Linked DNA regions of Notamacropus eugenii. The protein of the gene in region 1 purifies or fractionates together with the protein of each later gene. This does not show direct contact. Links are inferred from orthologs where the notes say so. Each region holds a gene or a part of one and is shown on either strand. Other genes may lie near its edges.

Region 1 (7,400 bases):
AGCACATTGCCTACTCACCATGGGGTGATTCTGGGCTGTCTTCAGTAAGGATAAGGGCAACTAAGAAAGCAAACAAAAGACAACTGAGAATTCCATCGGCTAAAGCATAAGCTTGTCTTTCTTCCAACAGAGATCAAGTCCCTCCCTCTCATTTTCCAATTAGGTAGTGGAGATACAAGGAGTGATTCAGGATTCAACCAATGAGATTTTACCTGGACACTAGTCTTCCCACTTTCACAATGCTACATTTGTATTTGACACAGAAGCCAATACCAATAAAGCCCCCTTATCACTGTAGTTCAGGAGGCTATGAACTTAAATGTGTTTTGTTTTGCTTTCCTTTCCTCAGACACTACAAAGCTTAAAACCTTTTTCCTCTTCTTAAAAACCCAGGGACATATGTGCAAAACAGCCAATCCCTTCATGGACTTTGCCTTCAAGGGAGTGTTACTTTTTTCTACATTCAAGATTTCATACCACTTTGCACTATGGATTTTATTTTTCACATATGCTACTGAGTAGTATAAACAGGCCTGGAATGGGAGCCATCAGTGTGGCCCTGGGCACCCAGCTTCAGTTTCTTCCTCCATAAAATTAGAAGGCTGGAGAAGATATTATCTAAGAGTCCTTTCAGTTCTGACAATCTCTGGTTCAAGGCTACCATTGGGGATGTCTGAGAAGGAAGACCATGGACTTTCTAATTTTAGTATGTTACTAGAACAAACATCTGAGGGTTTTTCTAAAGAAAAGGGAAAAAAGCTCTGAGGAACCTCCTCCAAAGGATCATAGGTGAGCGTGGGCTACTGCTCCACACGAAAATGGGCCAAAGTCTACTTCCCCAGTTGGTTTTCTGTAAGAGTACTATGATGGCCAAATGTGCATGTTTGCTGCTATGTAACTCAAGGGAGACCCAGCACAGGAAGAACAGGGAAAGAAGGGAAGATGGAACTTATAGAAGTCCAAATAGGAAGAAGTAAAGAAGCCCTACCTTTTTTTTTAATCAAAAAACTGCTGGATTATGCAAGTTCCCAAATCCTACCTTCCTCCCCCAACCCAAAGTGGAAGGAGGAAGAGACTGGGGTGGGTAAGAGAGGGAAGTTAAACTGTTGAGGAGAGATGAGAGAAAAGACAGGGAAAGAGAAGAGATAAAAGTGGTAAGAAGAAAAATGAAGTAATAGTGGGAAGACAGAGGAAAGAGACAAATTGGAGAGGAAAATAAGGGGAATAGAAAATGAAGAAAGAAATGAAGATGGAATGAAGGCAGGACAGGGAGGGAAGACGAAGGGATGAAAAAGAAAATGAAGGTATGAAAATGAGGGATAAGAGAATAGGGGAAAGAGGAGGTGTAGGACAAACAGGTGAAGAAGAGAAAGAAAGATGATAGGATCTAAAGGATATCAGAGGCAATCTAACCTAACCCATAATTTTACAGAGAAGGAAACTAGGGCTCAGGTGGCTAAGGGACTTGCCCAGGTCCTATAAGTAGTTGACGATAGGATGAGGAAAATGGGGCAGGAGAAAAAGTGAAGCAAAGTGATGCTGAGATTACGAGTAGAGGTAAGAATTAGACATGGAAGGAGAAAAGGAGAGATGAGGCTGTGAGATGAAATGGTGAAGACAAGATGAGGAAGGGAAAAGGGAGAATGAGACATCACATGAGAAGCGGGGGCTGGGGAGATGAGGATGAGTAAAATGGGGAGGTATGACAGAGGGAGAGGAAAAATAAAGGAGATGAGAAAGCCGGATAAGGGGAGGATGAAGGAGAAGAGGAGGAGCATGAAAAGAAGGATGGGTGGAGATGAAGAAGAGGAAAAAAGAGGGGGATCAGTCAGTCAAGAACCATTTACCAATGGTAAATATGTGCCAGGAACTGTACTAAGGTCTGGGGAGACAAAAAAGGCAGAAGACAGTCCATGCCCTCAAGGAGCTCACAGGGCAGTGGGGGAGATGATGAATAAACAAATACGCACATACATACAAGATAAGTAGGAAATCATTAACAGAAAGAAGGCACTAAAATGAAGATGAGTGGGGAAAGGGACTTGCGTGAAGTCAGTAGACACAGATGAAGAGGGAAGGCTTTCTAGGCATGAGGGACGTGGGAGAAAATGCTGGGACCTAAAGGATGCGGGGTCAGTGTCGCCGGAAGAAGACTACATGGCAGGGATAGGCTTTGAATGCCAGGAAAAGACTGGGACGGTGATAGAAAGTCACTGGAGTTAACTGAGCGCGGGGATGAGGAGGAGAAGGGGGGAGTGAGGAGAGAGATGAAGGAAGCATTAAGGAGGGGAATGAAAAGAAGAGCGGAAGACGGAGAGGAGAAGAGGAAGGCAGGCCAGGGAGTCTCGCCGCGCCCCGGCCCACGTGAGATCTCCACCCCCCCACCCCCTGTGCTCGGGCTCACAGAGGACCAGCCCCCTCCCTGTCCCTCCCCGTGCCAGGGCCGGGGACTGAGTCTCAGAGTGGGTCCCCGCCGCCCCGTGCCGTCTCCCTCAATCTCCCCTCACCATAGTGCCGGCCGCGCCGGGGCGGGGACAGGGCCGGGGCTGTTCCGGTCACTTCCGCCGCCGCCGCAGTAGCTCGGAAGACTCAGAATTCCCTCCAGGCCGCCCCTCACCGAACAGGGCGGGCTGACGTCTCCGCCAGCCAGTCACTACCCGATCCTTTGACAGATTGCCCAATCCCGAACGGCGGAAGGGGCGGGGAAAAGAGGCCGAGAGCTCCGACAGGTGGAGAGTGACCCCGCGCCTCGGGCGCGCAACTGCCGTAAAGCAGTAATCTGTAGGGTGCTGAAAAGACGCGGGCGCCCCGCGGAATTGTGGGTAACGGTCGTTGGCTGCGTGCGCTTCGGCTTCTCGAGAGGAAACGGGAGGCCAGGCGGGTCGGCCAGGCGGATCTGTGAGACGCCCTTAGTGTCTGAGGGCAGAGAGTGAAGAAAACAGCCCCTCCACCCGTCTTCTGAGAGGGCAGCTCGGCCTGCTCGCTGACCTCAGCACCCCCTCTTACATAAGCCTGGCGGCCAGCCGTGACCCTCCACCCTCGAGTCCCTTACCCAGTCTGGGGAATGGAATCCTTGGGCTTCCCACGCCGACGCCCAGGGTTGTAGTGAGGGAAATGTTTGGTAGAAGCCTCAGAGGCGCCATGGAAACCCTAGGCCAGGTGAGGGAGGTGTGGGCTGTGCCAAGCACGGCGGGCGACGATCCTGCTGCCAGGCCACACCTGGAGCGCTGGGTTTAGTGGGGGGTAGGGGCATGGACCTGCCGGACGGTGACGGGGAAGGCGAGAGCCCTGGAGACCCCAGGAGGAGCTGAAAGAGCTGGGGATGGTCTTAGCCCGGTGAATAGACTTGCCCTGCCCGTCCCCGTGCCACCCCGCCCTGGGGGCAAAGGGTCTGCTTGGAGCTCAGCACGAAGAGCTCCCAATAATCCGCAGCCCTTAGAGCCTGGAAGGTTAGGGAGGGAGATGCTCGGCGGGGAATATCCTGCTTCAGGTTGGCGTTGAACCCGATACAGAGATGTTGTCCCAGCATCTTTTCAGGTCCGAGACTCTAAGGTTGCTGGAGTTTAATTTGAGTGAGGCTCAAACCAGAGCATTTTGTGAAGTGCTTTGCAAACCCTAAAACACTAGTAATGGTTGGGGTTTCTTTTTGAACTGGCATCCCACCTTTTTCTGTAGAGAAGTACTGTCCTGGACTCTGGAAGTTGGAAGAGATCTTATAGATCCCTTTTCAGACGAGGAAACTGAGGTCCAGAGAGGCTAAGTGACTAATTAGGACATGGCCCCTTGTTCTAACACAAATATTTGGAAGAGGAAAAAACACTAAATTTAGAATCAGCACCTAAGGTTGGATCTCTGCTCTGCCCTCTGATAGCTGTCGGGCAAGTCAGAGTTTTTGTGTGGCTCATTTTCTTTATCTGTCAAATGAGCAAGTGTGACTAGGTAATTTTCTTTCGGATGCTCAATTCGTTGTCCAAATAACTGTAACTATATGATAAATGTAACTGTGTAACAAGTGCATGAGAAAAGTGCATAATGCTGTATGAGGAAATTAACCACCAAAGAGATTGTGGATGACTTGGAGGATGCAACATTTGGATTGAGCTTTAAAGAGGGGCTCGAATTATGAGGAGCAATGGGGAGGAGGGTATTTCAGACAGAGGGAACAGAATAACATGAGCACACAGGTGGAAAAATCCTGAGCAAATAATGTGGACTTGAGAGAGGAGTAGATCAGGAGTACTTAAGTTTGACAGAAACACAGGATACAGTTGAGCTAAGGCTAAAAAAGGCAGGGTGCCACCAAATTGTGAAGGGTCTCAAAACAGTTTAAACTTTGATTGTATTATAAACTTAAGAAAGTCCTGAGTCCACTTACAGATAGTGTTCATCAGGAAAATGTATCATTAGAACTCCCTAGTAGTCTAAGAATGACTCCTCACTTTCATGCATATAATTCACAATATTACAGAGAAAAATTATTAAAGAAAACAACACATACCCTTAAGTGAGCAACCATTAAGGTCCACTATGTATATTAAATCCCCAGAATCATTTACCCATTGAACTGCTAGTCTATAGCCTACCCCAAGTTCTGCACTCATCTGCTCTTCTGATGAGAGGAGAACTGAAGGGTGGAGCTGTATATGAATTTTCTCAGGCAGGATGGGGACAATCTCTAGTTCTATGGTCCTGCAGTGCCATCTCCCCTATACAAAATGATAAAACTGCTAATGTCCTTTCCCTTAGAATCTCCTATTGCCATCTCTAAAAGTCTTTTTTTATCCAGGTTCATCAATAACCTTAAACTGACTGAATATGTGAGTCATTCAAATAAAGGAAAGAAAGGGGAAAAGACCTTAGTATCCACTAAGTAGGATGACTTTAAAGGAATTTGACCATATGTGGAAGATTAATCTGGTATTAGGGAAAGAACAGATTGGACCAAGAGGTTTTTTTTCTTAATTTAAAAGAACAGGCAAAAGTAAAACAATATAAAACAGTAAAACAACCAAAGAAAACAAGATGTTCTAAGAGTAGATTTTAACACTGGTTTACAGAAATAGAATTTCCTAGTGACCCTGGGCTATCTCCTTTATTGTGCTTTTACCACATAGTCCCAGTGTCTCCCTTTCTTTCCCCCTCTTCTCTCAGGCTCCATTTTCTTCCTCTGTTTGTGGGACCTCAGTCTTCAGATGCTTTGATTGTCTTACTTTTTCTCTGTACTAGAATAAAGTTACTCACAAAAGATACTCTACAGTTAACTATTTCTGAAACTGCCCTACAGAGAACTTGTACACCGTTCACAAACAAGTAACATGTGCCCTCTAGCGTTCAGTTTTTTAAAAAGCTTTTGAATTTCCTTACTGGATAGTTTGACATATAATATAGGTGCAGTTTTCCTCCAAGAAGTTCAGGGAGTAGAGTAAACATAGTTCTCAGAGATTCTCCAACTTTATTTTCATCTCCTATTCTCTCAAGGGAAAACTGGTTGTCTTTTTTTCCAACGGAAAACCCATCTCCATTCTGTTCTCTTTGCCTGAAATATGTCTCCATTTCTATCTGTTGAAATCCTACATGCTTTAAAATCCAGTTCAGATGCCACCTCTACACATCTTCCATGATCCTTGCTTTTGGTTGTGCCTCCTTAGATCTGGCACTACATTTAATTTGCATCGCATGCATCTTAAGTATCATGTTATATCATGGTTATTTGCACATACGTTGGACCACACTGTGAACATTATGAGGCAGGACCATGTCTTGTTAATGGATGCTTTATGTTTGTTGAAGTAGAACCTTTTAATATGTGTGCAAAAATTCTTTCATTGTTTGGATGAAGAAAAATGGCAAATTAATTCATTGTATAAATTACTATGTGCAAGGCAAAGTAATCTATATTTAAATATGAACAAGATCCAGTCTCTGTCTTCAGGGAGTTTACAGTCTACTTGAGGAGATGTCATTTACAAGCCTAAAGACAGAACTAACACGTATAAAACAATATGCTGATTTTGTTTAAGACTCAGCTTTCAAAAACCCTTTTCTACATGAAGGTCCTTTCCAGTTCCCCACAACTGCTAGAGCACTCCTCCCCAAACTACCTTGTATAAATTTTGTGTGTGCTTTATATACATTGTCTTAACCATCCTTTCCCCAATCCTCCTCTTTAGCCTTTCTGCTACTTTGAACACTCCTCTCTTGTATATCCTCTTGTCTCTTGGCTTCCCTGACACTGCCCTCACCTGGTCCTAAGTTATCTGACTGTTCCTTTTTATTCTTTACTGGATCATCAATCACCTTTTGTCTCCTATGCATGCGTGTCCCACAAGGTTTTGTCGAGTTCCTTCTCTTCACATTCTTTATTATATATTATCTCCATTGAATTCAGTTATCTCTGTGATCCTGGATCTATATATACAACCCTAACATCTCTCCTTAACTCTGTTCCCAAATCACCAACCACCTTTTGGACGTCACTTGGGTGTTATTTTAGTATCTGAAGTCAACATATCTAAGGCAGAAGTGATTATCACCTACTATAAATTTGCCCCACCTCCAGGCTTTATAGTTTGGATCAAGAGTACCACCGTCTTTCCAGTTACTTCAATTCATAACTTCAGAGTCATTCTTGATGACTTTTTCTCACCTATCCCCCATAGCTAATCAGTTGCCAAGTTTTGTTGCTTCTATTTCCACAGCACCTCTTGCATCTATCCCTTTATCTCTACTCTTCTGGTCACCAATATAGCTTCAAAGCTCCATACTCAGTAAGAAATATGAAAATAGAGCCTGAGAGAGGAGAAGACAGACCCTCTATCCCACATTTTCTGAGGGGGCAGCTCAGCCTGCTCCCTGACCTGAACACTCCCTCTTACAGGGGCAGTTGGGAGAGGAAAAACTCCAGATCAGAAGCCTTGACCTTCCACCCTCAAGTCACTTACCTAACCTGGACCTCAGTTCCCCCTTATGTAGAATGGAATCCATAAGTGTCCCACTCTGACCCCCCCCCCAAGGTTTTAGTGAGGGAAGTGTTTGATAAAAGTCCTAGGGGCACTATAGGAATGGGATCTGTGGGTTCCAAATGAGCCCCAAACCCTAGGCTAAGTGGAGAGAGGTGTAATGTGTACCAAGCAAGTCAGGTGATGATCCTGTTGCCTTCTACCCTGGTTAGGACACATCTGGAAGATTATGTTTCTTTTGGGGGAGCCCATATTCTAGAAAAGACATGAATAAGCTGGAGGATGACCAGGATAGTGAGAGCACTGGAGATCCCAGGATGAGCTGAAAGAATTGGAGATGATTTTATCCTGGAGAAGAAAAGATTTGGCAGGGCTGAGCTGCTTTCTAGTATGTCAAGAGTTGTCATGTGCATTAGACTTGTCCTGCTCATCCCCTGGGGG
Region 2 (7,772 bases), on another chromosome or scaffold:
TTGTTAGCAGAAAGGATGACTATGTGCTTGGATAGTCTAGTACCAGCATTGTCTGTGGCACTGTTGCCTTTAGTTACATTTTTGTACATGCCTATATTTATAATGCGTATAATATTTTCTTGACTGCATCATTTCACATGATTCATCAGAAATCTAGTAAAGGGATTTCTTCTTAAATCTCAACTGCTACAAATATGTCAGAACTGAAACTAATTCTTAACTTCCTTATCTGTTTGAAGTAGTAAAAGGAATTGAAAGTTAATTATATTACATTTCTGGCTCTGAGTTTTAGGTATTTTCCCCTATAAACTGATTTCCCACCATGCTCATCTCTTTCTCAATCTATCACTCCTTTCTTTTAAATATTTCCCAACATTCTCTCACCCCTAACTTGGGAAATAAAAAGAAATGCCTCTATAGCAAATCTTCAGACTCACAATTCACTCCATTTTCTAACAAAGCACATCTTGATAAATCATGTCCATGGCCTTGCACAAACACAATTGCATGGCATATGAATTTTTTCCCCTACTTTGTTGTTCTCTGTTAATTATTTCATTCTGCTTTTTTAAAAAATGACAACAGCCAACTTATTCCCACCCTTTATTTCCACAGTCATCAAAAGTCCATCAGAAGTTAGTGCCGTTTGGGAAACCTGATGTCAAGGCTCCATGGAGACTTCTTATTAATTCTAGTGGGGTGAATGAACCAGAGGTTTAGCACTATGCCCTGTGACTCAGTTCTCTAAGCTAGCTCGTGCAGTGGACAGAGTTCTGGACTTGGAGTCAGTTAAGACTTGACTTCAAAATCTGTCTCACACCCTTACTAACACTGTGATCCCAGACAAATCATTTAATCTCTTCCTGTGAGTTTCCTCATGTGTAAAATGGAATTATAATAGCACCTACCTCCCAGGGTTGTCATGGGGATCAAATGAGATATTTGTAAAGTACTTTGCAAACCTTAAAGCATTATATAAATGCAAAGTGTTATTACTATTACTACTAATTATCATTAGAATCACAGAACACAGAGATGTTCAAGAAGCTGAGGAATGTAAGGGAAAGAGGCTCTATATTTCCCTATTTTAAAGATGAGGGAGGCAATGTGGTACAGTGGAAAGAATGACAGTCTTAGAGTCTAAGGACGTGGGACCTGAATTCCAACTCTGCCTTTTTACTACTGATGGGTTTTTTGTGCAAGTCAATTAACTTCTTTGGGCCTCAGTTTCCACATCTGTAAAATGAGGGAGTTTAGAATAGATGATCTGAAGTCCCTTCCTGCTCTAGATATATGAGCTTATGATCGCTTTGCTTAAAGTCACCAGGTTAGGAATCACAGAATTTTACAACTGGATATAGAAGGAAACTGAGGCCTACCAAGTCTATTTTCTGTGTAAATAAAGTCTTCCCTCCTCACATGAACCTCTCAGAATTTCCACCCTCCTTCAAAGCTCATCTCAAGTTTAACCTCATTCATATATTTCCTGATCCTTCCCACCACTATCAGAAATTACTACATGTGTGTATTTGCACTTAAGCTCAAGGGCAGCGGATGTTTAATTTTTACTTTTGTATCTCCAGAGAACAGCACATAGGCTCAAGTCTAGAGCTGGAAGGGGCATCAAAGGCTTTTTCAACCTCCTCATGTCACTGATGGGGAAAATAACACTCCAAGAAAAGAAAAGGCCTGCCCAATGTCACACAAAATAGGGTCCTCTGTTTCCTGAGTCAATGCTCTTCCCAATAGCAGGAATTTAATAAAAGCTTGTTGAATGTATGAAAGGTGAGAAAGGAAACCTGAATTCAAATCCAACTCTGCCATCACTTAGCACCTAAGTCACCTAACCTCTCCAGGCCTCAGTTTCTTCCCTTGTAAAATAAGATGTGTAGATGTTCCTTAAAGCTCTTTCTAGTGCTTGATTCCACTCTTGTGCCCAAGTTGCAATTAAGTAGCAAGATTCAAATCCCCTTCTAACTTCAAGACCAGGGCTCTTCCCACAATGTCAAAAAAAGCAAGTCTGGGCTGTCTCTTTACTGAAGGAGATGAACACGCACCCCACCTCCCCACCTCCCCACCTCCTGGGGGATCTCAGGTTCCTTCTTTATCCCACAAAAGTCCTGGAGAAAGCTCCCTGCTCCGAATTTCAGGGCAAGGTAGGCTTGGTCTAGGTAGCTCCTGCCCGAAACCTAAGGGAGGGATTAAAGTCAAAAAGCAAACCTTTCTCCTTTCTCTCTAAGGACAGCAGCAGCAGCAGCGGCAATAGAAACACACCCCAAGCTCCAAGCCAAAGGCAGCCTGCACCTAAGAGGCTCGCAGACAAGCTTCCCCTAGAGGCATCATCGGTGCCTTCCAGCAAGAGGGCGGCTCCGGCCTTTGTGAGCTGGGTCAAGGTTATGACCGCCCCAGACCTCGGCCTCTGGGTAGCCAGGTCGAGGCCCGGAGGCAGGCGCTGTTCTCGGTCATCCCCCTCCCCCCGGGCCTGCTGCACCTCCAGCACCGACCCCCTGGGGCTCCTCCGAGAGGTGGGGAGCCCGGGAAGCGGCAGGCCCTCATCTCGGCCCCACCCCAGGCTCAGGAGAGAACTCCGCCAAGTGGAAAGGAAGCCCCAAGACCCCGAGGGCGTCCCCAAGATGCAGAGACTCCCCCAAAGTTACAGACGGGCCCCCGAGGCCCCGGGGGAGCTCCCCAAGGCTACAGTGGGACTCCCTTAAAGTTGCAGAGGGAGCCCCTCATGGTCCAAGGGGAGCCCCCGAAGTCTATAGAGGAAGACCCCTCCCCTAGGCCCCAGGGCAGCCTCCCCGACCCCCGGTCTCCGGTGGGCAGCGGCTCCCGGCCCGGGCGTCGCTCGGTAGGTGTAACGGGAGTAACGGGCCCAGCTTCTCCCGCTCCCCCGACTCACTCCTCCCGGGGAGGGGGTCCCCCCTTCCCTCTGTCCCCCTCCCCCCTTTTCCCGGGGGGCCACTTCCGGTGGCCCGCGCTCACCTCGTAGCGAAACATCGTCGGGGGGGAGGGGGAAGGGAGAAGGGGGGGAGGAGGCGGAGCGGGAGGGGGATGGGGGAGGGAGGCGTGGGGAGGGGGGGAGACGCGTCCGACGCCCCGGGCTCCTCCGCGCGCGCCCGCCACTCCTCCGGCGGCTCGCGACCCCTAGCCGCCGCCGTACGCCTCTTGCGTGCCAGCGTGCGAAGGGGCGTGCGCAGGCGCGCTGCACCGTACCGCGGGGAATCCGAGGGCAAGGGGAGAGGAAGGGCCCTTCCCTGCTCGTGCGGCTGCGCGGGGACTTATCTGACGCTCGTTAGTCATTTGAGGACAGCGGCAAATAAGTCCCAGAGCTCAGTTCTGCCCCTGCGCGCGGCTGACCCCACCCCCGGCTGGCCTCGGGCTGTGTTCCCTGGTACTGGCGCTGGCTCCACGTCTGGGGCGTGGCGGGCACTCGGGTCACGAGGCATCTGTCCGCGGGGGAAGTCCTTGTGATTATCACCAGATAGTGGCCCGAGGGGCCGACTTGGAGGCCAGCATTCTTGCCCCCTTGACCTTGAGAGTCCTCGCCGGCCTCGGCCTGCCGGCGTCCGGGCCCGTAGACCCCCACACCCCATTCCTCCTCTCCCTAGCCCCGCCGCCCCTTCCATGAACGTTGTGTCAATCCATCAACAAACCCTGAGGCCCGCAGGTGTGACGGAGCCCGCGCTCTGGGCTGGGGACTGCCCCGAGGCTCGAGGACAACTCCCCCCGCCCTCGACTGCTTTACTTTCTAGCCCGTCCTAGGAAACGTCCGCGCGCTGAAGACCCCAAATTTACCGGAGAGTCACTAAATGGAGCAGGCGGGGTCCCGCCGTCCAACACCCTGCCCGCCCCTCGCCCCGGGCTTTCCCGCTTTGAACCGCGGCGAGGGTGGAGGTGGGGTGGGGGAGGTCATTGGCTTCTACTAGTCCGGGACTTCAGAGATCCAGGATTCCCGGGGCGGCTGCTCCCGGCGCCCACAGTGCCCACCGCGCGGGCAGGGAAGGGGCGGGGCGGTGCCCGTCTCATTCATTAAGCTCCTGGGGCGCCGCAGCACTTTGCCCTTTTTGGGGTCCTCAGAACTTAGCACAGGGCCTGACACACCGGGGCAGTTTAATAAATGCTTCCTCCCAACCGCGCTCCCTCCCTTCCTCTTTTCCTTCTTTTCTTTTTTCTCCTTCCTTCCTTCCTTCCTTCCTTCCTTCCTTCCTTCCTTCCTTCCTTCCTTCCTTCCTTCCTTCCCAGCCTCCCTCTCCTCCCCTCTTCTCTCCTACCCTCCCTTTCTCCCTTCTTTCTTCCCTTCCTCTCTTCCACCTTCCCTCCCTCTCTTCTGTTTTCACTTTAGGAGCAGGTAAGGCGCATAGATCACTAGATTTCTCAATGCTACATGATAACTGCATCAGAAAAGGTGTAAGATGACTGTTTTTCTGGCGCTAATAACAATTGCTAGCATTTATCTAGTGCTTTTAAAGTTTGCCAGTAATGTGCTCAGAGTCACACAGCAATGTGAGTGACACAGCTGGGACTAGCACCCAGCCCTCATGACTCTCAAGTCAGACCTCCTCCCACCGTACTGTGCTTCCAATGTATACGTATGTACTTGTGTGTATATATGTATCATTTGCTGACCTTGGTCAATGGGTCTATTTGTAAAAGGAGGGGGTTGTGGTACCAGATATCTAAGGTCCTTCCATCTCTAAATCCTATGGTTTTTTTGGCATGAAGGTTACCTCCTTGCTCTGCAGACTGTGCCAAGAATCTTAACGCCAGTCTGTATTTTAATAGTTTAAACTTCGATAAGACTTTTGGGACACAATATATAGATCTGGGGGCAACTAGGTAACACAGTAGATAGAATGCCTGGCCTGCAGGCAGGAAGATCTAAGTTCAAACCCAGCCTCAGACACTTACTAGCTGTGTGACCGTGGACAGGTCATTTAACCCTGTTTGTCTCAGTTTCCTCATCCATCAAATGAGCTGGAGAAGAAAATGGAGGACTGATGAGTTCAGGTTGCACCCCAAGAATCACCTGAAATGATGAGGAGTAGCTGTGTGGGTCCTATTGCCTTGAAAGAGTTCACTCAGTGTCCAAGTTAAAGAAATGCATTTATTGGGGTGATACTGTCAAACTCAGGGGAGGCAGAGCATAGGTGGCAAGTCCTACTCACCTAAGGTAGCAGAGCGGCCCTGCTCTTCATAGGAGGCAAAAGTGGTTATTGGGATTCGGTGTCTGGTTTAAGTATAATTTTATGGAATAGAGGAAAAGAGGACAAGGGAATGGGAGGAGCAAGCCATGCTCCAAAATGCCTGGGATATCAGATAGGCCTGAGGTGCTTTATCATACAGATAAGCAAAGACAATAGAGGAGGGAAAGGGAAGAGTTGTTCTGGAATTGGGGGTGCTTTGTGAAAGCACACAGGTAAATCCGTGGTGAGGGGCTTCAATGCCTAGTTTTCTTTGATCACTTTTTGGTCGATCGTACCCTGCATTTTATTTCATATCTCATATCCTGCATCCTGCTTGCTCCATCTACTTCTAGTACTCTTCTGCCTCATCAAAACCACTCCAGTATCCTTGCCAAGAAAGCTCCAAATGAAGTCACAAAGAGTCAGGCACAATTGAACAATATATAATTCTATATAGATCTGCAGACCATAGATCTCTATATCAATTTTCCTATATATGAACACTCATATAATATATACATACATATATAATAATTTTATATAGATATAATACACAAATGCATACATATGTGTATGCATACAAACCTGTTTGCGTGCTTCATTTTGTGCACTTAATTCTGTGCCTATAATTTCTAAAGTGTCCATTCAGCCTATATGCAACGTTCCCCTCCCATACCTCCTCACACATAGAATCATAGAATTTAAGTTGGATGCTTCACAGGAGCCAGCTAATCCAACATGGAAGGATCATAGGATCAAAGATTTCAAGCTAGGAGAGATCTGAGAGGCCACTGTGTCCACCTCACCTTCAGGTGAGGAAACCTAAACACAGATCAATCAACCCTCCTAGGATCACAGAGCCACTAAATGTCTGATGCAGGACCTGTACTCAGGTCCTCTCAGTTCCAAGTCTCATGCCCTATCCATTAAACCATTTTGCTTCTTGAAAAGTCCACTCTACTGTTCCTGAAAAGCCTTTGGTGAAAATATCTGATGAGAGGGAACTAAACACGTCCCAAGGAGGTAACTCATTTCACTTGGGGCCAACTGTTCTTGTTAGGACATTTTTCCTGACATTCCCTCAATTGACCACTGGCCCTTGCTCCTTATTCTGTTCTCTGGGCCCCAAACTGATCAAGTCTAATTGCTCTTCAAATGATTCTAAAGCCAATTCACAATCCTGAACAGTTCTGAAGGCAATTCTAGGATGGTCTAGCCTAAGTCTCTTAGTCTTCTCCATAAGAAGAACATGACACATTCTATCTAATGCTTTGTTAAAATCTAACAACTTTACCCACAGCCTTCCCTTGGTATCAGATGTTAAGTGGCCTTATCAAAAAAATAAAGAAGGAAATAATCGAAGTCATCCTAATGAAGTCATGCTGGCGCTTTGTAATAACTGCTTCCCTTTCTGGATGTTTGCTACCTCCCTTATGGCATCTAACTCCAACCTCCATTCAACCTCTACCCTTGTCATTCAATTTCATTCAACAAGAATGTTGCAAACACTATACCCAAGTACTGTGCTAGGGTTACAAAAAAATGAAACAGTTCCTTAGATTTTCTCATGAGAAACAATGTACCTAATACATAAGCTACACAAACTATCTACAAAGTAAATACAAGATTTTTTTTTCCCACAGGATAAACATACTTGTTTATACTAGGTACTGCTACAGGGAGGGAAGGAATCAAGAAAGGTTTCATGAAGGAGGTGGCACTTTGTCCTTCATTGCTGAAGAAGACCATGCCATCAGAGAAATAATGACATGACTTGCACTTGACTTTGTTTGGAGTGAGGGAGGGCTGTGCAGGTCACCAGCCTCACTTCTCCTCCACAGCCATCTGAATCCAGTGACCAGATATTCATCAGGATGACTGGAGATGTCCCAGGATGCAGTCAAAGGGCCACACTTGAGGACCAAGAGGGCCACATGTGACCTTGAAGGTACGGATTCCCCACCCCTCATCAATTCATCATATGCATGTATATGTATGTGTGTGTATGTGTGCGTAGTTTGCACATAGTTGTTTGCATGTTATGTCCCCTGTTAAAATGAGAACTCCTTGAGAGCTGGGACTGTTGTTGCCTTTTTTAGTAGCCTCTGGGATTCTTGGTACATAGTAAGTGCTTAATCAATGCTTGTTGACTTGTTGAAGTAAACAAAGATTTCTAAGAGGCAGAGGAGAGGTGAGGGGGAATTCAGGCAGGGGGTACCAGTCATGCAAAAGCATGGAGGTAGGGGATGGAATAAATGTAGTGAGTTCCCCATTATTGAGTATATATAGACAGAGGCTGAATGGCTATGTTATGTCAATGTTGTAAAAGTGTTTCCTGTTCAAGGACCAGTGAGACGAGATGTCCTTTAATCACTACCATATAACTTAGATACTTTTTCCCTCCCTCTTCCTCCTACCTCCCCCCTCCCTCTTTTAGGAGGCATACAATTTTACATAGGTTGTACACATACATTCCTATTAAATACATTTTCACCATAGTTATGTTGCATAGAAAAATTATGAATGGGAGAAATCATATAACAAACCAAAACGTAATACAAAAGAAAATGCTCTGCTACATTCTGC
Region 3 (7,742 bases), on another chromosome or scaffold:
CGAATCAACTCAATCTCTATAGCCTTCCTTTTTTCCCAGCACAGAGCCCCACCGTCCTATTGTTTTAAAAGACTTACTCCCAAACCAAGCATTTTGTTTAATCACTGCCAGAGGAAAAGGGCATCAATGAAGAGGGGCCTAAGTCATTCATTTTATATATCCTAAATCAATCCCCAAATAATTAGTACATGGCTTTAATATGTTTAATGCCCACTTGGCATCTCAAGGCAGCTCAGAATACCTCATAACTTTTTGCAAATAGCAAAATATACTTCAAATATACTTCTGGATCTCAGAATCCCAAAAGTGAAAACTGGGGACTGAGGAAACAAAGGAGAACAATATAATTCCTAAGTTGGTGCTTTATTATTTAATCCTATGGAAATATTTCCTTTGAAGATGGGTTCCATGAAAAGTTAAAAGTTTCCTGTGCCACATTTTCCCTTTATCTCTGGACCCCTTCTGGAATTAAATATGAAAAGAGAATTGATCTAAGGGGAAATTTCAAACACTCATATAAACAAGGTAGAGAATCACTAGGGAACTAAAGGATGAACGTTACAACTCTTCACCCCAATGTATACCCTTTTTACCTTGAGGAGCCGGAAGATTAATCTCTGGTGCACCTTAGAAAGGACAGGAAATCCCTTCTTATTGGTCAAGAAGATGCTGGTGGGAAGGATGGCTGCTTTGATTGGCTCCCCAAGCCATCGGTCAATAATATGACTGGATGGGAGATCAGCACCAACTTCAATAGCTATAGTATGGAAAGAAAGATCTACTGAAGCCCAAACAGGCTTTCTTATCTGGGAGTCTATTACAATCTAGCTATGTAGCAGCCTGCTATAAAGTAAAAAGAAGTTACCCAAAGTCTCAAGCTAATCTGAAGCTTCACACCATGACTTCAACTCACATGGCGGAGGGGGGAAAGAAGCTCTAGCTATGGCAGCCTGCCACACTCACCCACTGCAATCCTCTTGCTGTAGTCACACAGGGTACGAAAGTTATGCCACCTGACCAGAAGAAAACAGAGCACAGGGCCTGCCAATCATTATACTCCTTCCAGCTGTCAGTCACTGTCCCACAGCCTCTAGCCCATTCTTCTCCCAGCCCTGGTTCTAATCTTCTGCAATAACAGAGAGAATCACATACCACATCCATGTCTTCTCCTCCCCAGTGTATGCCTCTGTCCGTTGAAGAGGCTCATTCCCAATGACATCATCCCGAAGGTCTTCTGCCGCCACCAGGGGTACCCGTATCCAGAACTACATGGAAAGAAACTTATTACCCTTGCCTCCACAAAGTTTTCTTTGATTAAAATGAAAATGATCCCAAACCAGTGCTACACCCTTTAGAACCAACATGTTTTTCTTGTTTCCTGCAGACTTAAGTAGGTAGTGCTACTTCATGGAGACAATGCCCATTTGTATGTTTAGGCTAATATCTATTTGTCTATCTTGTCTTCCAATTCAACTCTATGTTTTCTGAGACAGAAATAAATTCTCTTTATTAAAAGGATTCATTTTTTTAGTAACAGTATTTGTTTGATATATCCAATAACTGACTGATCAGCAATCCTAGGCAAATATAGAAGAACAGCAGGGTTCTTTCCAATCCATTTTATGCCCAATGTATTAGGTAGCCTGGTTTGGGATAAAACAGTATTAAATACAACCCAACCACAGCACAACACTGCCCATTCATCTTCTGGGTCTGGGGAGGAAATCACTTAGGTCATACCATGGAAGAATGATGGCCTGTGTGAATGTGATTGGTCAGAACTCTGGCCAGGTTAGTGTTATCTTCTTGAGTGAGAGGTAGCAGGAAAGCTGGAAGCCCCAGGTATGCCCCAAAATTCAACTCCTGCAGCATGGCCTGGAACAGAGACCAACACAGACAGATTAGTCAATGATGTCCCAAATGGCTTCCATCCTTGCGGTGCGAGACAGAGCTGACAGCAAGGTGTCCCAACAGCCGCTGAAATGTGGTCTGCCCCAGGTGGCCCCCAAGGGTCCATGACAGCCACAAGGCATCAGCCAAGGAGCCTCACCGCCTCCGAATTCCTTCTTATCTTCTCCACTCTGGAATCGGGGCGGATCCATGGTGACAGCTTCCCCACAATCAGGGTATTCCAGTCTGCATGGGCCAGGAAAGACAAAAACAGGAGAGGGGTGAGGACGTGAGCCCGCTTCTGCCCCTGGCATGGGGCACCACAAACCCGGGGCGTACGAGGGGCGGGCAGGGCTCAGACAATGTGGGGGGCGGGGCTCCTACCCCGTCCGGACAGCAGCAGGTCGGACCGAGTGTGGGGCCCGGGGCGGCTCTTGGCAGGCTCCTGGGCGAATTCCCTCTTGAATCGGGGGTGGAAGACGGGCATGCAGAGGAAATCAAAGCTGAGACAAAGACAGAGGACCCGGCCCGTACATTAGTAAACCCACAGCGGCCCGGCCCACGTGGGCCGGACCAGCGCGCACTGCCCACGCGCCAGGGGGGCACGGGGGGGCCTCGATGCCCCCCAAAAGGGACTTCGTGGGAAGGAGGAGAGGGAAAAGGCAGGACCCCCCCTCCGGCGGCAGGGCCGGCCCCCGTGGGATCTCGCCCCTGGCACGGGTGCCCCATGCCCCAACTATCGCCGGATTGCCCGCACACCGTGCCAGCCCGCTCCCAGCCTCGGCAGGGGACACGTGCGCCCGAGCCTCTCCACCCACCCCCATCCGCCGCAGAAATGGTCTCTCCCACCACGGTCCCCTCCCCCTCCCCCCGGGGCTGGGAATAGTTTCTCCCACTCCATCTCCCAGAAAGCGCGCGTCCCACCCCAGAGAGGAGGGAAAGGAAAACGGGGCCCTCACCCTTGTTTGGCCACGGCCCCCAACGTATCGGCCACTTCGGGGACGCAGTTGAGGTCCCGCCCGCTGGACACGCGGCAGCCGGGGGCCCCAACTGCCACCGCCGCCATTTTCCCCCTCACGTTGTCTCTCCAGGACCCCTGGCTCGCAACAACCAATGGCGAAGCGCAGAAGAAGCCGGGTTTCCCCGGTAGGCGGGAGGAGTCTCCTTAACAACCCGAGCGTCTCCTTGCACTCAGCGCCGCGGGGTAGGCGGGGCGAGGTGTGGGCCTCCCTACCAATCAGGGGGCGGCGCCGTGACGAAAGACAAGAGACCTGGAAACCTACCAATCCGAGGGCCCCGTTTGTCCGCCGAGTCTACTTCCCGTCTCGTCTTAGGGAGAACCCTTGAAACAGGTCCAAGCGAAAAACTACATCCCCCATGAAGCCCCGCGGCATGCTCTTGAACACGGGCCGCGGCCAGAGCTTTTTCGTCCGAGGGCCAGTGGCGCAATGGATAACGCGTCTGACTACGGATCAGAAGATTCCAGGTTCGACTCCTGGCTGGCTCGTTGGGAACGGCTCCTCTTTATTGCTCCCTCGGGAGGCATCTTCTGTCCTCTCGGTCTCCGCTGTTTTCCTGCGGTCCCTTATGGATCATGGACGCTTCCTCCGTCTGCTCTTCCAGCACCATAAGGGCCTTCCGAGCGAAGAACGCGGCCTCGGACTCTACTTCACGGTAGACCCCGCCAGGCCCGCGCTCCCTGGAAGCTTCCAGCGGGAGAGGAGGCAGGGAAGGGACGTGGAGGCCGTGTCTGCTGCTCCCGAAAGCTGGACCTCACGCGCAGTCACGGAATTCCTCCGTCCGAACTCCCCAGAAGAGAGTGGGTCCAGGACCTACGTGGGCGTGCCCCGCGGCCCGTGGGCACGTCGGGCCGGTGCCCCCCCGGTGTCCCCCCAGCGTCCTGCGGGTCGTCCAGGCTGCCCTCCCCCGCGGCCAGTCCTGGGGTCTGCACCTTGGACACCGGCCTAGCCCCGCTCGGGCAGCTCCAGGGGCTCCCCGCGACGCGCAGGACCGGGCAGGAGGCCCCCGCGCCCCCTCGCGCCCCGCTGCTGGCCCACGACCCTCCCTCCCCCAAGCGCATCTTCTCTGGCTGCCTCCCCTCTGAGGCGATCCCCAGTGTGTCCTGCAGGTATGGTGGGTGTGCATGCACCCCCGCTCCTCTACATGTCCACATCCACACGCGTGTGCGTGTTGGTGGTGGTCTGCCTCACTCAGAGCAGGGGCTGTTGTTTGCCTTTCCCTGGATCCCTAGGACTTCGTACGACAGCCTGGAACCCAGGAAGGGCTTCGTAACTGCTGACTGATTGCGTCGGTGCGTTCTCTAGACATCTTGTTTAAAGGATCAGGTGTAAAGCTGGTGAAAGTTTGTCTTATCTTATCCATTCTCCTCATGCCAGTCAGTGTAATATTAACGATATCTCGTGCGTTCCCTGTAGACTGTACGCTGCCCTGGTGTCACTTCCAGGAGAGCATCTGATGAATTACAGACCGATGGATGACCGGTGTTATCTCTGCCTCTTGGAAGACTTACAGAAGGCAAATGGATGTCTACTAATGGAGGAATTTCTGGCATGTTGGTATTTGAGTGGGAGGAAAAGTTTTACATGGGAGAGTCTTCCTGATGCCCTAGAAATCACACCAGTAAGTAACTTCCCATCCTCCCTGCCCTGCCATCTCACTGTATTAGGTTCCAGTTCAGGGAGTCAGGAGATCTTGGTTTGAGTATGTCACTCACTACTAATGATGGGGCTCAGACTCTGGGAGCCTCCTTGAGCTCCCCTTGAATCTTCCCACTTAATCTGGCCTTCCTTACTCAAGTCTAATCTTCGCATTTGTTCTGGCAGTCTCCGGAAGCCCATGGGCTTTTCATTATCTTTCTACTCTAGTCTCCGTTGCACCACCCCCCCCCCCCCTTGATCCCATCAAAACCCCATTCCCCTGGCTGCTGACCACTCCCATCAAGATCTGTATCCATTCCCATACTGCCCCTAGATCTGTATCCATTCCCATACTGCCCCTATCAAGGTCTCTGGATTGCCCCACCTGCTTCCCACCCAAACCCACACTAATCTGATATCTCCTGATAGCCTCCAGCTGATTCCAGCCTTTGACCCTCCTTGGATTCCCTCCTTGGACTTCTCCTCAAGACCCTCCCTAAACACCTCCTCCCATCACCCTGGACTACCAGACCACCCCCAGATCCCTCCTACACTCTTTTCTGTATTTAAGTTCCATCTTGCCTCCATGAAGGCGCTCAGATTCAATCCAGCTCAGACTCTGTCTAGCTGGGATTCTGTCTGGCCTGCTTGTGAATACAAGCTTTACAAATGCTTAGGCGCCTTAAGAGGCAACCCAATTTGGTGAATCTTTAATAAACTTTGTTTTCTTTGGCTTTAAGAAGGCTTGAGTAGAATTCATTCGAGCACGACCCGGACTGTCGGTATCTTGGGGTCCACAATCACCCCTCAACCTCGTCACTATGTGACCTTTTTCAAGTCCCTTCACTTCTGAGGACTTCAAATGACCATTAAGTGCTATGTATACATCATTGTGCTAGGTGCTGTAGGAGATAGAAAGTTTAGAAAAGACCCAAGGCCCAGTGGCACCCACAGTCTAACAGGATCCATAATAGTAAGATCCATACTCAGGAAATTGAAATACACAAGAACACTTGATAAATAAAGTTTGCCCAGTGATGTGAGAGAATGAGCACTGAGCAGGTTATCCCTGACACATGGAGAGCCGAGGGAACGTCAGGGAAAGGATGACTATTTAGTTGGGCTTGAAAGAATAGGAAAAAATTCAACAAAGGAGGAGAGAAGGCATTCCTTACCTAGGTATTGGCCCAGGCAAAAGCAGGAAAGGCACGTATCCTACGGTATTTTGGGTAAGGATAAATGGGAGATGGAAGAGCACAGTTTAGCCAAAGTAACAAAATTAGGCCAGAGGTCTTCTCAAAGTCTCCCGGACTCTTAAAATTCTAAGAATGACAAGAACCTCATCAGACTATTTTATTGTATTCCCCATGGCAATAAATACCGTATTCAGAACTGGGCGTATTCTTGGACTTGTTAATTGATTGATTGCATAAGAGGCTATATAGAATTAACCTAGAACATGCCCCTTACTATCAGCTAAGCCTACGGTTACGTAAGAATCAGAAAGACACAGTAAAGAGCACTGATTGCTTCCATCTTTGTTTTTTGGGGAGACTTTAGGTTTTTTAATCAATTTTCAGTTGCGTATCCTTCTATATTCTGTTTTAAAAGGATGAGGGGAGAAACATTTCTTTTTTTACCTATAGAATTGTAAGGAATGTAGGACTTTGAATTGTGAAGATGGGCTGAGATAGGGAGAAAGAAGAATACAGTGGAGTGAGGAATGCCTTTGAGGAAAAAAAGAGTTTATCTCAGCCCTACAAAAATGGGTGGAAAATATGGATGCTTCATCGCCTTCACTGAACAGACTTACAGAATTTCAGAGTTCAAAAAAACCACAGTGAGCTTACCAGAAAAAGAATTCACTTGATCACTTATCCAACAAGTTGACATCTGGCTTTTTCTTGAAGAACTCCAACAAGTGGCATCCATAGCTTCCTGAGGCAGACCTTTTCACTTTTAGATAACCTCAACTGTTATAAAAATTTATCTTTGTACAATTTTTCACTCAGGATCTCATCCACAATAATTCTTCATTTGGTGTCAATTCTCTCCTCCATATGACATCCTTTTAATTACTTGAATATATCAATCATGTTCCCACAAAATCTTTTCTTCTCCAAGTCAAACATTTCCAGTTCCTTCAGTCCCCATGTAGTATGAACTCAAGGTCTTCACCATCCTGATTGTCCACTCTGGACAATCTCCTGAATATCAATATTCTTTCAAAAATGTGGCATCTCTAACTGAACACAAATACAACAGATGTTTGATGGCCAAGTAAAAAGGGATTGATACTTTCGTATTCCTGAAATTCATACCTTTCTTAATGTACCCTAAAATCATATTAGTTTTCCTAGCCACTATATCACATTATTGATCCATATTGCACTTGAAGTCCACTAAAACTTCCAAACCTCTTTCAGATGTTCAGCCTTGCCTCCACCATCTTGCATTTGTGAAGTTGAATTTTTTTAACCCTGGACATAGATGTGTTCCTATTAAATCTCATCTCATATGATTTGACCCAATGTTCATACCTGTTAAGACCCCCTAATGGGTTATCTATCTCTCCTAGCTTTGTGTCATCTGCAAATTTGATGAACACATGTTTCTGCTCCCAAAACACATCATTGATAAGAATGTTAACATGAGACCAACCACAGTTCCTTTTTTGATTTTTTTTTTTATTAATTGTCCTTTGACCAATACATTATAGAAAATTGCTAGGGATTAAAGTCAGGCTCACTAGCCTATAATCTGCAGACTATTTTCTTGCCCTCTTTGAAAATCAGAGCATTTGTGCTTCTCCAATTTTGCAGTTTTTTATCTTGTTTTTCCTATTCTCTGTGATCTTTCCAAGCACACCAAGAATGGTTCATCAATCACACATCTGCCAGTCCTCTCAGTACTAGAGGATCTGGGTCAAATGTCTTAGATCATTAATGGTAGGTAGGCAACTCCCAGTGTGGAAATTCCCTGCACCGATGCAGTTTCACAGCTCATTAGTAACTTAGTCTCAGAATCATCTGAGTAAGATGATACATTAAGTGACTCCTCTGGGCCCATGGCTAGTGTGAGTCAAGAATTCATTTCAGATCTTTGTAACTCCAAGTGTGGCCCTATACCCACACTGCTTTTCAATCTTTTCCTCCCTCCTTAGTTACCTTGAACATCATCTTCCTACTGGATATA
Region 4 (7,006 bases), about 44 Mb from region 1:
TATCAAGGTCTCTACCATCTGCTGATCTATTTCAACAATCAATTTCCATCCACAAGTGACAGTACAAATTCTATTAATAAAACAAAAAACACTGGAGCTTTAAAAACAAAAACAAAAAAAACAACTGGCCTGGAACTAACCAGAGTTCCTTTACAAAGAATAAAAGTAAAAGTTTTCAGAGTAACAAGCATCAGGAACAACTTCTAGGGGAGAGCTTTTAACTTCAAATTAAAAATCATATGGTTATCATTATAATTAAAAAAGCACATTGCAGCCAGGGGGAAGAACCAACATATCATGGTATTCATTATAATGACCACATGATAACATTTGGGAAAAATGAGCCCTACCCAGCTTGACCTTGTTGAACCTAAAAAAGCAGCCTGGCTGTCAGCGAGGCCACAGCAGGGAGGATTAGGAAAGACCAGCTCAGTCTGCCTATGCAGCACTGGTCAGATTATGGGACCTCTCAGTGTTAAAGGCTCCTCAATTCTAGAGGGATGGAAATATGACAGGGTTCTTTAAAAAGGTGCTGTACAAATATAAACTGATGTTTCTCACTGAAAGATACAGCAACAAAGCCATGGCTCGTAAGGACAAAATCAGAAGTGTTTTTATAAAGCAATAATTTTTTTAATCACACCTCTACTTAATTTTCTCCTGATGGGATACACAAAAACTTAGAAATAAAACTTAAAATAGTAACATTTCAGAGCCAGTTACAATCGCAGTCCTCTGGAGGTCATTTAGTGCCATCTTCTTGCTTTGCAGACAGCTGTGGCCCAGAGTAAAGTGCCTTAGCCAAGGCTGCACAGATACTCAGAGCAGAGCTGGGATCGGAAACCAGATGTTCAGGGCTCAAAAATCCAGAGCTTCTTCGGGGTCCACTACAGAGAGGAGACTCACCAGCTCAGTGTGGTGACAGAATTCAATCTCAGTCTTCTAGTCCACAGTCATTTTCATTTCACTATATAATGGGATGGGGAGGTGGTATATGAGGTGCACTCCTGTATGACTGGGGAGGTCCTTGGATCTACCACCACCTTGTTATGTATGCAGACAGATATACACATACGGCCTTAGGAAAATCACCAATAGACTCAATTTTTCTCATTCCTAAAATTTCAGGTCTCTTTAAATTAATTACAACATCTATGACTATTTTAGAGCAAGAAAGGTCTCTGTGTAGATGGACATGACAAGTGACAGTGTGGTCCAATGGTCACATCCTGGCTCTGCTCCTTCCTCCCTGGGTCCCTCCTCCCCTGCAAAACAAGGTTGGCTGGACCACATTCCCTTGGAGATCCCTCCCTTCCACATCTGGGATGCTGTGTTGATGCGATGAGAGATGGCCATCTTGAGATTCATTAAAATGAGGCACCATGATCACACCACACACATCAACATCTAACTAGTAAGCACATGTACATTCTCCTTGGACCTCCTCATGCCATGTCAACAGCCAAACTAAAGCCATGGGAAGGTAAGAATTAGCCAACGGGTGAGAGAATTCTGACCAAGCTAGTTCCTGCTCAAGCCTGAGAGGAGAGGGACAGTACCCTGGAACTCTAGGAAGGAAACATCTCATTGGTCCAACCAACTCATCAAGAGGGCAGGGAGGTCAGACAGCCAAGGGCAATAAGGCTGCTGACTGCGCTGGGCTGGATTCGCACGCCGCTGGAACACTGCCAGGTTTGTTACTCTCCGCAAACACCGACGTGCTCCTTCGGTAACATGTAACAAACGAGAACAGATGAATGATGAGGTCTCGTCCAGCTCCCCCAGTCTGTCAGGAAGCCTGTCCCGGAGTGTCTGATCGCGGTCTACTGTCTTCAGAGACGGGAAGGACCAGAGGAGTGGAGAGCTAGGAAGGCAAAGCCCGGAGCACACAGACTAGAGGCCCAAGGCTACCTGGATAAAAGGGCAGGTAAGCGCAGCCTGGGGCGGAGGGAGAGCCCTGCACGGGCCAGCGGCTTCGGACGTGGCAGGCCTCCCATGCAGGGTCAGCTCCCCATCAACTCAACTCGCTTCATAATGTAAATCTACTGGTCCGAGACCAGTCACCCAACGGTTAGGAGCGTTGGAATGGCCAGGTTTGACCTTGGAAGGGCTGAGATGCAGGCTGCACGGTGGCCGGCCTTCTTCCAGCCTGCTGGAGGAGGGGCAGGTAGGCGAGGTGAGGAGGACGAGGGCGTGTTCAGAGACAGAGGACGCAAAAGCAACAACAATGCCCTGCAGGGGACACAGCGCGAGCCTCCAGCGCCTGGTGGCTTCTACATTCACACTGGACGGCCCCCACGTCTTCACTTCCTCCCTGGGCCAAAGAGGCCGAGGCCGTGGGAGTGCCCCGACCCCGAGCACACCAGCCTTCTAAAGAGCCGAGCCGCAGGGAGTGTGGGGCTGCTGGGACTAGAACTTGGAACATTACCGACCCCTAGGCTGGTAAACCTGGCCCCTTCCTGCCTTTCCAGTCTTCTTACTGGATGATGTTCCATCATCACCCAAGACCCTCCTCCCGACTCCAGGCCTGCCCTCCGGCCGTGCCCCCTACCAGGCCTGCCCTCCCTTTTTCCCCCTCGTCTCCGATAGGTCGTTCTCGTCCCGCTGATCCCAAGGGTATGCGGTTTGGTCCCCCCACCGGAGGAGGAGCTCCTCGAGGGCGGGGACCCCGTTTCTGCCCGCCCCTCCCCACGTCCTTCGCCTAGAAGGTCTGTCGCACGTGGGTCTGGAGCGCGCGGGCGCGCGGGGCCCACTGCGCGTGCGCGAGGCTCCGGAGCAACAGTCCCACAACGGCCGCCGCACCACCCCCTCCCCAGCCCCCGCCCCTCCCCCGCGGCGCACCTGCTCCTCCAGCCGCTGGATCTCCGCCTCGTTCTCCTTCTCCTCGTCATCGTCGTCCTCCTCCGCCGACGAGCAGCCCAGGTCCTCGTCCTCGTCCTCGTCGCCGCCGTCGCCGCCCCCGCCCGAGTCCTCCGACTGCGCCTCGGGCTCGGGACGCCCGCGCGCCGCCGCCACGGCCAAGGCCGCCGCCGTCTCCTCGTCCTCCGCCTCCTCCGCCGCCGCGGCCCCCGCCCCCGCCGCCGGGGCCTTCGCCCGGGGCCCAGAAGCGGCCGCCGCTGCTGCTGCCGCCGCCATCTTGCGCCGCCCGCGTCTCTTCCCCGCGAGCCCGACGCCTACGACGCCGTGACGTCAGCGCTGACGCCGAGGCTGCCCGGGCCGCGCCGGGTCACCGTCCGGCCAGGCCGGGCTGTGAAGCTGCCGAGGGGCTGGGCGGCCTCGGTGGGGCGCTTCACCCAGCCAGCCTCCTCTCGGGCGAGAAGGGACCCCTGCTCTCCGCGTCCGTCCCGGCGCGACGAGGGGCAGGCTTCCGGGGTCCTTTGGACAGGAAGTGGGGGCCATAGAGGAGGTCGGGACGGCGGAGGGGGCGGGACGTGCAGGGGCGGGCGCCATCTTGGGAAGGACAAGGGCGGTTTACCTCCTGGTCCCTAGACCTGCGTGGGGCGCGTGCTGCCGCAGGTGCGCCCTGGAGCCCGAGCCCGCGCTGCCCCTCTGACGCGCGTGCGCGCCGGCCCGTGCTCCGCGCCGCCGGCTGGTCCTAGTGCCGACCCGGGGCCTGGTGCGGGGGAAACTGCCCAGCCCGAGCCCCGTGACCAGGAACGAGTCAAGTCCCCACCCCACCTGTCCTCGTTAATTAAAATGACTAGTCCTTAGAGACTCAGTACGGCCCGCGTCCGGAACCGTGGGGCTGCTTGCTGGAAGGGGCCTGGTGGCTGTCCGCGTCTCCCATCTCCGCACCTTTGCACCGACCTTCCTCCGTGCCTGGCATGCCTGCCGTCCTCACTTCTTCCTTAGAAGTTCAGTGCGAATGCGGCAGGGCAGCGAGGGCTGTTCCCTTTTAATGTGGAAAGTGCTGCGTTTGACCCTTTTGATGCCTGGTGTCACCTGCCAGGTCAGGGAATGGAGGGACCGTGATTAAAGACCAGGCTGACCCAGCCAGACGCAGGGCGCTTCCTCTTACAAAGAAAGGCCAAGGCCATGCAGGGGACCAAATACACCTTCTCAGTTTATCGCCTGCCTCGGGAAGCTTTTAAGTTTTCTTGGAAGCAGCCAGGGTTAAGTGACTTGCCCAGGGTCACACAGCTGGTGTCAAGTGTCTGAGGCCAGATTTGAACTCAGGTCCTGATCTCAGGGCTGGTGCTCTATCCATTGCTCCACCTAGCTCTTGATGTACACGCACACACTACTCTCTTTCCCACTCTATACATGTATATATGTATGTACATGTGTATATAAATGTATTTATATATACACACATATGTACATATACAAATGCACATACATGTGTAAGGAGGATTGGTCAGGACATTTCCCTAAACTCAGGTCATGTTTAGTCAAAGAAAGTAAAGGGCAGATAACTGAGGTAGTGAAGTGTTAATATTAATTTAAACTAAATGGAAAAAAAAGCCTATCTACTGCTCTGTTGCCACTTAGGAAGTATGAAAAAGTTTCCCTAGTTGAATTGGAAAGGAAGCTTGGCATTGACTGCAGAAAGCTAGGCCAAGCCCCTGGCAGCCCTAAAAAGAAAGAATCCACCAGGCCTGCCTATCAACGGAAGGGGAACTCCAGTTCCATGAGAGCCATAGGAAGCTACAAAATGCAAGAGTATTTAGGCATCACTTTACTAAAGCACACAAAAGACTTGGTATAAATAGCTCCGATTACAAAGTGCTCCTTGAAATAAAAACTTAAGTAACTGGAGAAATATTCAATGCTCATGGCTGGACCATGTCAATGTGATAAAAATGACAGTAATACAAAAATTAATTTACAATTTTCATGTTAATCAAATTATCAAAAGAACACTTTACAGAACCTGATAAAATAACAATATAATATCAAGGGAAATCAAAGAGTTAAGGATGAAGAGCCAATCTATTTTATAAAGCAGCAGTCATCAAAACCATCTGGTACTGATGGAAAAATAGACAAAGGAGAATCGGAAACTATAACCCAGGGTTCAATAAACTGGAAAACATAAATTAGTTCAGAAAAAACTCCCTCATCAACAAAAACTGCAAACTGTCAGGCATAAACTGAAAGTGTGACTTTAATATTAAAGATCATATTGGAAAGAACTTAGAAGAAAACGGATCATAGACCTTTTCCAGCTAAAGATGTCTTCTCAATTGACAGAAGGAATCAAAAACGTTAATGTTATATAAAATTGAAAACCTGCACAAACAAAATATATCTAAGTTAAGTGGTAAAACAGGAAAATATGTGGCATCCAAGATACTTAGACAACACACATATACACGTACGCTATTCCACAAGTCATGGTAGTATTAACAAGCTGGTAAAGCTTCTGGCTCTAAACATAACAGAGATGCTAAAGCTTAAAACTGCAGCAAGATTTGTGAGACAGCCCTCTCCAACAGAAAAGTGATTAAATGATAGGAAGAGTTCTCAAAAGAAGAACAAACTATTACTAACGACCTGAAAGAATGCTCTAGATCACTAGGAATAAGAAAGGCAAATCAAGACAACTGAAGGTTCGCTTCCCACTCGACAGACTGGCAGAGGACCAAAGTTGGGAAGAGTCGATGCTGGAGGGGTTTCAGGACAACCGGTACTTTAGTGCATTATTGAAGCTGCAAATCCATGCCACCAGTCTGGAATTAAGCAAATGAAGTTACTAAAATGCCCAGAGATTCTTCCATAACGGCAGCCATCCCACCGGGAAAGTCTCCACACACCCCAAAATATTGACATCAGCATTTGGGGGTTAGCACAAAGCTGCAAAGTAGATGTTCATCATCTGGACAATGGCTCAACAAATTGTGCTATGTGAATGTAAATGAAAAGAATGGGCCATAATAAATGATTCCCTCGGGACGCCCCTAGCTCTTCCCTCTGCACATGAGGGCTGTTTCCAGGAAGTCACTTTGACTTATGTCTGATGGAGGAGAAGACATACGGATGACCAAGTATCTACCATAACACAGGCAAAGCAGGGAAAGGGTCTCAGAGGGACCCTTAAAGCATTAAAGTGCTAAACACAGGCACTGCTCATGTGAGTATATTTATTGGAAGAGAAGAACATTCCTGGATGAGAGAGTTTTAAAAATGAGTGTTTGGAAAAGCATTGTACCTTGATAGGGGCTTGGAGGGGTGAAGGGAAGGGAGAAAGAGGAGAAAAAGGATGGAGAGAGATAGAAATAGAAAGAGAGGAGGGGAAGAGGGACAGAAGCAGAATTAGAGATTCATTTGTTACACCTCACCAGAATATAAAGAAAAGGTTTATACCAGGAAACCCATCTAGGCAATGAGTCAGTAAGGAGATTCACAGTGGCAGCAGAGGACAGGGGATAGTGTTGGACCTAGGATGACCCAGGTTTAAATCTTGCCTCAGACACTTGCTGGTTGACCCTGAGCAACTCAGTTAACCTCTCTGAGCCTGTTTCTTCATCTATAAAATTAGGGGGCTGGACTTGACCTCTAAAGGCCCACTCTAACCCTGCTCACTGCTCCCCACCACCACCACCACCACTGCTACATACATACTATAGAGTTTTCCCCAACAGAAATTTCTTGAGGACAGAAAATGTTTGGTTTGACTTTGCATCCCCAGTGTCTAGCACAGTGGCTGGCACACAGTAAGTATGTAATATACACTTAATGATTGGCTCACCTTAGAAATCAAACAGTTTATGAGGTTCTTAACCTGAGGTTCCTGAACTTTTATATATGTATGTATGTATGTATATATGTATACATACACATATACATATATATTTCAATATAATTGACTTACTTTGTAATCACGAATATGATGTTATGCACTAAAAAACATTCTGAGAAGGGATCCATAGCTTTTACCAGACTCATTGCCAATGGGGTCCATGCCACAAAGAAAGTTAAGAGCCCCTGGCATAGTCCATGGACATCTTATATTTTACAGAGGAGGAAACTGAGACACAGAGAGAAGAAGTGGTCTGCTTGAGTG

The links.
Region 2: the proteins of LSM4 (region 1) and PATL1 purify together in Homo sapiens (co-immunoprecipitation; 4 studies listed by BioGRID and IntAct, with this or other methods). This does not show direct contact. The link is inferred for Notamacropus eugenii from reciprocal best matches to the Homo sapiens genes LSM4 and PATL1.
Region 3: the proteins of LSM4 (region 1) and PRMT5 purify together in Homo sapiens (co-immunoprecipitation; 3 studies listed by BioGRID and IntAct, with this or other methods). This does not show direct contact. The link is inferred for Notamacropus eugenii from reciprocal best matches to the Homo sapiens genes LSM4 and PRMT5.
Region 4: the proteins of LSM4 (region 1) and SART3 purify together in Homo sapiens (affinity purification with mass spectrometry; 4 studies listed by BioGRID and IntAct, counting the BioPlex papers as one, with this or other methods). This does not show direct contact. The link is inferred for Notamacropus eugenii from reciprocal best matches to the Homo sapiens genes LSM4 and SART3.

Annotation. Positions count from the first base shown.
Region 1 is NC_092875.1:67,410,588-67,417,987, reverse strand, and holds the start of LSM4 (U6 snRNA-associated Sm-like protein LSm4), read right to left. Parts: upstream 3,121-7,400; 5' UTR 2,511-3,120; coding exon 2,508-2,510; intron 2,363-2,507; exon of another isoform or gene 989-2,362; intron 61-988; coding exon 19-60; intron 1-18. UniProt on the Homo sapiens protein: Plays a role in pre-mRNA splicing as component of the U4/U6-U5 tri-snRNP complex that is involved in spliceosome assembly, and as component of the precatalytic spliceosome (spliceosome B complex).
Region 2 is NC_092873.1:5,566,471-5,574,242, forward strand, and holds the start of PATL1 (protein PAT1 homolog 1), read right to left. Parts: upstream 3,137-7,772; 5' UTR 3,001-3,136; coding exon 2,986-3,000; intron 2,405-2,985; exon of another isoform or gene 2,221-2,404; intron 1-2,220. UniProt on the Homo sapiens protein: RNA-binding protein involved in deadenylation-dependent decapping of mRNAs, leading to the degradation of mRNAs. Acts as a scaffold protein that connects deadenylation and decapping machinery.
Region 3 is NC_092878.1:10,218,960-10,226,701, reverse strand, and holds the start of PRMT5 (protein arginine N-methyltransferase 5), read right to left. Parts: upstream 3,113-7,742; 5' UTR 2,957-3,112; coding exon 2,850-2,956; intron 2,394-2,849; coding exon 2,275-2,393; intron 2,137-2,274; coding exon 2,051-2,136; intron 1,876-2,050; coding exon 1,741-1,875; intron 1,266-1,740; coding exon 1,153-1,265; intron 1,014-1,152; coding exon 964-1,013; intron 758-963; coding exon 594-757; intron 1-593. UniProt on the Homo sapiens protein: Arginine methyltransferase that can both catalyze the formation of omega-N monomethylarginine (MMA) and symmetrical dimethylarginine (sDMA), with a preference for the formation of MMA.
Region 4 is NC_092875.1:23,491,120-23,498,125, reverse strand, and holds the start of SART3 (squamous cell carcinoma antigen recognized by T-cells 3), read right to left. Parts: upstream 3,151-7,006; 5' UTR 3,136-3,150; coding exon 2,842-3,135; intron 1-2,841. UniProt on the Homo sapiens protein: U6 snRNP-binding protein that functions as a recycling factor of the splicing machinery. Promotes the initial reassembly of U4 and U6 snRNPs following their ejection from the spliceosome during its maturation.